Linked DNA regions of Macaca fascicularis. The protein of the gene in region 1 purifies or fractionates together with the protein of each later gene. This does not show direct contact. Links are inferred from orthologs where the notes say so. Each region holds a gene or a part of one and is shown in the gene's direction. Other genes may lie near its edges. The genes, in order: PTPN1 and ABCD3.

Region 1 (3,819 bases):
CATCACTGATCCAGGAAGGTGACATGGATGAAACTGGCTAAGACTTCAGACAGGCCCGTGTCCAGACTCTTCAGAAAGCTCTGTTGGCTTCTGGTCTGGCACTGAGAAGTTTGCTGTGATGCTGGCATCACAACCTAGTGTTTCTTAATTTGTTTCTCCCACATTTTGCTTTGGTTTTGTCTTTTGGGCAGCTTCCAGCTTCAGCAGAGCAGGACCAATAGGCATTTGTGGTTCTATATTCACCCTCTTCAAGTGCTTCCTGGCTCCTCATTGCCCCCAGATGATGCCACAGGTCCGTGGGCCTGCTGCCAGTCGGCTGTGATCTGGGCCTCTGCTGGCCCCTTCTCCAGCTGCTCTTTTCAGCCTGGCTTATTTGCAGTCACTGCCTAGGAAATCCTAGTCATCTTTCAAAACCTGCCTCTTGCATAGAGCTTTCTCTGATCTTTCTTTCCTGTAACTTTGGCTGACCTGAAACATTTCCCTCTTCTGAATTCCTGCTGCCTGTCTGTAGCATTTCCCCCTCAGCCCTCCTCCGTGGCCCACCTTGTCACTGCTGGGTACAGCAGTCTCTCCTCACAGACAGCTGGCCCTGAAGTGGTTCCCTTCACCCACACCATCCTTTGCCCCAGAGGAGGTATTGAGTGGGTCAGTGCACGTGAACTGCAAGTGTCATTTGCCAAAGAGCTGTTGACACACGCTGACATTTCTTCCGCTGAAAATCATAAGGGCTTTGAGCTTCCCTATGTCCAGGCACATGGTCAGGCTGACCCGGTAGCTCTGCCCCTGTTGATCTGCCATTTTTGTCCACAACAGTTATCCATGAGCAGAAACGTTTGCATAACTGAGGCAGATTCAGTAAATGTCACTAAATTCGAGTCCGTTTTTGTCTTAGACCCTAAATGAAACCAAATTTTCATAAATTTGCTTGTTTTAAAGAAAAATTTAACAAGCTACATTTAAATCGAGAACATCAAATAGTGTCTCAGATTATCAAAATAGAACATCAAAAGTATTTTTCTGAATGAACTGAACCAAACCAGAATGAAAGGGCAAGCCCTGGGGAGCCCGTCTCCAAGCCTTCTCTGAAAGGGAGTCTGCATTTGGTGACAACCGTTCAGCCTTTCCAAAGGGCCTCACCTGCCGTCTCTCCCAGTTTTATTTTTAATTGCCTGTGAGTTTTCTGTGCAGAGTAAAGCACCTACATTCTATGCCAGCAGCCTGATCAGGTCCTGTGTAATGTTTGAAATGGCTACATAGAGGAGTTTCAAAGCCTTTTGTACAATCTGGCTTCACCTCATAGACTGTGAGAAAGCGTCAGAGCCCTGCAGGACCCCATTGCCGTGTTTGACCAGGGAGCTGATGGGTTTGGAAGTCTGAGCCCTGTCTGCACAACCTGCCCCAGTCAGCAGCTTCGTGCCCCCACCCCCATCTCCCCATGAAGCAGGCATCTGTGCTGACCATGGCTTCCATGTTCAGAAAACCCCAGGTCTTTGGGTTATCATGAAGCTTGTGGGATGTGCTCCAGGCCTCCTGCCATAGGAAAATGGTTGCTCACAATAATTCACTGTTATTTGTTCCCCCAGTTAAAATGCGCACAGTACTGGCCACAAAAAGAAGAAAAAGAAATGATCTTTGAAGACACAAACTTGAAATTAACATTGATCTCTGAAGATATCAAATCATATTATACAGTGCGACAGCTAGAATTGGAAAACCTTACAGTGAGTATGGCACGCACTTCAGCACTTCAGGCGGCTACTGGTTCAGATGCCTCTTCCTTTATCCCTTGGGTGATATTACCTCCTGCCAGTGTTCCTGGCTTTTGTGTACCCCGAGCAAGATGTGGTTTTGGCACTGAGGTGAGCGGAGCTTACTTGTGCACCTACCAAGTGCCCAGGAATGCCCAGAAAGGGTGGAAACCACAGTGCTCTCTCTGACCTTTAACAACAGTTAACACCGGTTCTTAGGGAAAGGAGAGTTTCTGACCCAAAAGACTGGTTCCTGCTTGTGCAGCTGCAGAGGGACCGAAGCGGCAGTCTGCAGGTCCCAGCGGAGCATGCTGCCTTCTTTGTGGTCCTCAGTCTTTGAGTCTGAAGAGAGGGAAGAAGGGGTCTGGGGTCTCACTCCAGTTTTATAGCTAGTGGAAGTTTTCTAGGCCTGGTATTGGGTTTATTTGTTGTGGGAAGAGTTTATAACACCAGCTACTTGCTTGGTAAAAGTTGGTCTTGGGACATGGCAAGGCATTGTGGTAAGCAGCACCACCACTGAAGGCTCTGCTCCTGGGGCTTCAGAATAATTCCCCTGGATCCGTAACTTGGAGGTGTTCGTTTCATTCTGGGGAACAGTGGAGGGAGTGCGAGGCAGCACCTGGGGGCGCCAGTGAAGATGGCAAGCCACCAACCTCTGGAACCTAACTGGGGTGGAATCCTGGTCCCACCTTACCAGCTCGTCACGGTGTCTCCGTTTCCTCTTCTGTCAAACGCAGGTTTTGCCAGGGTTCTGGGAGGTCCTGTGTGGGAAGGGTTAGCAGTTACTGTGGGTGTGTAGCACGGGCTTTGTCTGAAGGGAAGATGGAGCTGTAGGGAGACCATGTGGACTGGGGCTCCAGGGCTGTGTGGGTGGGGAGGGATCTGCTTCTGGGTGACCCCATGCCTCCCCTTCTCAAGCACTACTTTTTAATCATCATGGTTCCTGCCATTCATTTCATAGTTGATGTAAACCAGCTGTGGTGGCTCATGTCTTTAATCCCAGCACTTGGGGAGGCTGAGGCCAGGAGGATTACTCTCGAGGCCAGTAGTTCAAGACCAGCCTGGGCAACATAGCGAGACCCCCGTCTCTACAAAAAAAAAAAAACAAAAACAATTAGCCAGACATAGTGGTACTCCCCTATAGTCCAGCTACTCAGGAGGCTGAGGTAGGAGGATTGCTCATGCTCAGGAGTTCAAGGCTGCAGTGAGCTATACTTGCACCACTGTACTCCAGCCTGGGTGACAGAGCAAGACCCTGTCTCAAAAAAAAAAAAAAAAAAAAATAGAATAGTGAAAGTAAGATCTAGAATTTAGCACAGGTTACCAGGAAGTAGGGAAGGGGTTCAGGCTGCCTGGCTCCTGAGGACGGTAGCAGTGCAGCTGCTTCGAGTGCTTTCTGCCCTCTGGTGGTGACCGCTCCAGAGTCAGCAGTCCTGCCATAGCCCTGGTAGGGCAGAGGGGCTCTGAGTACAGTGGATGGAGGCGCTTTCTGGAAGATTCTCGGAGTAACATGGGCAGCATGTTGGAATGTGCTAGAGGATTTATGCAGTAGACTTTTAAAAAAATGCTTTTTAGCGTTTGCAAACCTGACATTAAGAGTGACTTCTGGGGAACTCTTTGCTTGTTGAGGGAAACTGAATTTCAACAGAGCAGAAGAGCTGTGTGCTTTTTGCTTGGCAGAATGAATACAGCCAGCTCAGAGGTTTTGATGTTAGGATCTGTTTGCTCCAACAGACTTTGTTTTTAAAAGGCTTTTCTCAGCCATGGCTGTCTGTTCTAGCACAAGGCTGGAGTGAATTCCTTGTGAAAGATGTGGGCAGGTGTGAGGGAGGGTATCAGTGGGCGGTAACCCACACCTTCAAGGATTAAAAGAAAACTTGAGTTTGGCATGCTTGCTTCTTACTCAGTTTTAAAATACATTTTAACGGCCAGGCGCAGTGACTCACTCCTGTAATCCCAGCACTTTGGGAGGCCGAGGCAGGTGGATCACGAGGCCAGGAGTTCAAGACCAGCCTGGCCAAGATGGTGAAACCCTGTCTCTACTAAAAACACACACAAAAAAATTAGCCGG
Region 2 (3,819 bases), on another chromosome or scaffold:
TCTCTTCCTCTGTAGGTGTGTATGTCTTTCTCTTCCCTCCCTCCCTCCCTCTCCCTGCCTTCCTTTCTTTCTCTTTTCTCCACTTTGTTGAGGTATGATTGACATATAAGAAACTGTTCCTATTTAATGTATACAATTTGATGAACATGGGGATAAGTTATACACCTGTGAAACCATCAAGATCATAAGCATTCATCACCTCCCAAAGTTTGCTTTAGGAGGTTTCTGCTTGTTATTCAGAGAAAAATCCTGTTTTCTTCTTCGATGCAGAATACTTTCTCTTTGGCAATCATGGTCATTTTTGTTATCTCCAACCTCTCGTTGTTAGTTTTGATTTTTCTCTACTGCCACAGTTATTTCTATCTAATAATAAGAACTCTTCATCTTTCCCCTCTTGAGAGTAAGAAAGAGGGAATCTTTCAGATTCTTCCATTTGCAGGAAGGCAGCATGCATTCAGCATACATTTAATGAATGCCTTCCTTGGATAGAAAGACCAACTTTATACATGGCTTTATAGGCCGCTTCAACAAGATCTCAGAGTCCATACTTCTTGGGTCTAAGGAATATACTAGTGTAGTGGTCCTGTTGTAGTATACAAGAGAAACCTCCTGAAAATTCTCAGCAAATAACTGTCTTGACTTGGCTATTAATGAAGTATCTGTTGAGTTGGGGATCCTATGGAAACCTCTTTCTTCATCCCTATATTCCTGCTTTCCTACTGAAACATAATAAAGCATGCATGCTATCATTAATACTTTATGTTGATGAGACTGTTAGGTTACTTCATTTATACTAGATTATAATTTTAGGAACTTATGTTGGTGTAAAATAAAAGATGTGACAGTAGTCTGGAGTTTTGATTATGGTTTCCTTTTCTAAAATTTTAGGTTTACTGCTCGGATTACAGAATTAATGCAAGTACTGAAGGATTTAAATCATGGCAAATATGAGCGCACAATGGTCTCACAACAGGAAAAGGGTAAATATGAGTGTCACAGTTTAAGGTCACAATTTTAAGTGTTTGCTGACGTAATATGATGCTTTAATACCTATTTTCCATTTAAGGTATTGAAGGAGTACAAGTCATTCCCTTGATACCTGGTGCTGGAGAAATCATTATTGCAGATAACATTATAAAGTACGTACAGAAAAAGGTTCTTTAGCACCATAAATGTTTGTTAAACTTCATAGTAGTCTTTCTTTTTCAGCTTACAATTGCTTAGTGTTTAAAATTATTTCTGCTTTTTTGAAAAACAGCTTTGAGGTATCATTGACATAAAAATTGCGTATATTAATATTTAAAGTATACAACTTGATGCTTTGATATCTGTATACGTTGTGAAATGATTACATTTAGGCTAATTAATTTACCTGTCACCTCTACATAGTTACCATTTTTGTGTGTGTTTGGTGAGAATTTAATTTAGATGTGTCTTAGCAAATTTCAGGTATACAATGTAGTATTTTCTACTATTGTCCCTGTACAGTGTATCTACAGGATTTATTCATCTGGCATCACTGAATTGTTGTGCCGTTTGACCGATATTAACCCCATTTCCTCTCTCCCTACCCCCCGGCAACCACCATCCTACTCTCTACTTCTATGAGTTTGGCTATTTTAAATTCCACATACAAGTAAGATCATATAGTGTTTCTCTTTTTGTGTCTTGCTTATTTTGCTTAACGTAATGTCCTCCAGATCCATCTATGTTGAAAATGGCCCGGTTTCCTTCTTTTTTAAAGGTGGAGTAATATTCTATTGTATGTATTTTGTGTGTGTGTGAATATATACACACTATATACACTATATTTTCTGTATCCTCTCATCAGCTGAAGGACATTTAGGTAGTTTTCATATACGGACTATCGTGAGTAATGCTGGAGTGGACATGGGAGGAAGATTCTTTTTGAGATACTGATTTTATTTCCTTTGCAAATGTACCCAGAAGTGGGATTGCTAGGTCATACAGTAGTCCTACTTTTAATTTTTTGAGGAACATCCATACTGTTTTCCATAATAACTGTACTATTTGTAGTCCCACCAACAACATACAAGGTTTCCTTTCTGCATATCTTTGCCAACACTTACCATTTGTCTGTTTGATAATAGTCATCCTAACAGGTGAGAGGTGACATCTCATTGTGGTTTTGATTTGCATTTTCCTGATGACTAGAGATGTTGAGCACCTTTTCGTATGCCTGTTGGCCATCTGAATTTTTTCTTTTTAAGAAGTGTTTAAGCCCTTTGCCCATTTTTTAATCAGATTATTTGTATTTTTGGTATTGAGTTGTATTAGTTCCTTATATACTTTACAGTAGTTCTCTTTTTTTGAATTTCCTCTATAGGTTTGATCATGTTCCTTTAGCAACGCCAAATGGAGATATTTTGATCCGTGACCTTAATTTTGAAGTAAGTTTATTTATTTATTTATTTTTTGAGACGGAGAAGCTTAAATCATCTTTAAAATGTGAACTGAAAAAAGGTTACCTGAATATTTAAATTAACTTTAAGGCTCGACTTAGTCTCTGAATCCACAGAATTGCTTTAAAAAGTAAGTCTTTGAAACACTTAGAAATCTATTTTTCTTAATTGACAGGACTTCAAAATTTCAAATACTACTACCAAAAAACTTTTTGTAAATGAAGTTTATGTCAAGAAAGCCATAGAAAATATAGTAAATTGGAGTCTCCAGTGTAAAATGAATATTTAAACACAAATATAATTTTAGTCTCTTTACATTAAAAAGAAACTTATGATGTGGTTGGTATTATTGTGACTGTACAGGATGATTTGTACCTATAAAAACAAAATACAGACTGTTTTATTACTGATGAAAACAGGGGAAGAGTCGCACAGTAGTGCTACAAATAGACACTCACCTAAAACAAGTAAAATCCCATGCCAAGTAAATACTGATGTTGATTCAATCTACTGTGCTAATGAAATGGGATATGGCAGACCAAATTAAAAAGAAAAGACAAAAGTTGAATGTTTTTGTATGATTGTGTAAGACTGGCAGATTTAAGGGTTACTATTTAGGTTTTCTCTATGTTGTGGCTTTATGAATGGTTCAGATCCAGAAATCTTCATAATTAGTAACAAATTCCTATCACATAGGCTATCTTCCCCATTCTAGACACCATTTCTCTAGAACAACACTTTCCCGTAGAACTTTCTGCGATGATGGAAATGCTCTATACTTTCACTATCCAGTAAAATAGCCATGTGTAGATACTGAGCATGTGAAATGTTACTAGTACAGCTGCAAAACTCAATTTAAATTTTAATTTAATTAATATGATTTAAAATTAAATAGCCACATGTGAGTAGTGGCTATGGTATTGGACAGCACAGCTCTGGAATTCCTCTCCACATGCTTATGTGCATGGCCATCTGTAGTTTGTGTTTTATGTGGGGATTTTTTTTCCTACTGCTGTCTTTGAAGGAATATTGTCTGATAGTTTATAAAATAAAGAGTATGATTATTGGACTTGTTTTTAATTTGTTACAGTCTTAAGGAAGTGTTCAGTTTTCTGCTCTTAGTAATTTGTATTAAGCACATGTCTACTTTCTTTTCAATGAATTATAAAAATGAAAATTGTTAGTTATGCAAAGTACTTTGAACTTATTCAACAATGAGTAGTCTATTATTATCATATTTATTCCAAAGCCAGGAAATACATGGTGAAGTACAGAAAATGTAAATGTAGTTGATAAATATCGACTGGCTCCACATATCGCAGAAGTGTTTTCTTACGTAGCTCCGGGTACTTCAGTCACTTGAATGTTCCTTTGGCAAAGTAGGTAACCAGGCTTC

The links.
Region 2: the proteins of PTPN1 (region 1) and ABCD3 purify together in Homo sapiens (affinity purification with mass spectrometry; 3 studies listed by BioGRID and IntAct, with this or other methods). This does not show direct contact. The link is inferred for Macaca fascicularis from reciprocal best matches to the Homo sapiens genes PTPN1 and ABCD3.

Annotation. Positions count from the first base shown.
Region 1 is NC_088384.1:106,672,047-106,675,865, forward strand, and holds part of PTPN1 (tyrosine-protein phosphatase non-receptor type 1), read left to right. Parts: intron 1-1,583; coding exon 1,584-1,721; intron 1,722-3,819. UniProt on the Homo sapiens protein: Tyrosine-protein phosphatase which acts as a regulator of endoplasmic reticulum unfolded protein response. Mediates dephosphorylation of EIF2AK3/PERK; inactivating the protein kinase activity of EIF2AK3/PERK.
Region 2 is NC_088375.1:139,934,601-139,938,419, reverse strand, and holds part of ABCD3 (ATP-binding cassette sub-family D member 3), read left to right. Parts: intron 1-888; coding exon 889-980; intron 981-1,066; coding exon 1,067-1,139; intron 1,140-2,347; coding exon 2,348-2,411; intron 2,412-3,819. UniProt on the Homo sapiens protein: Broad substrate specificity ATP-dependent transporter of the ATP-binding cassette (ABC) family that catalyzes the transport of long-chain fatty acids (LCFA)-CoA, dicarboxylic acids-CoA, long-branched-chain fatty acids-CoA and bile acids from the cytosol to the peroxisome lumen for beta-oxydation.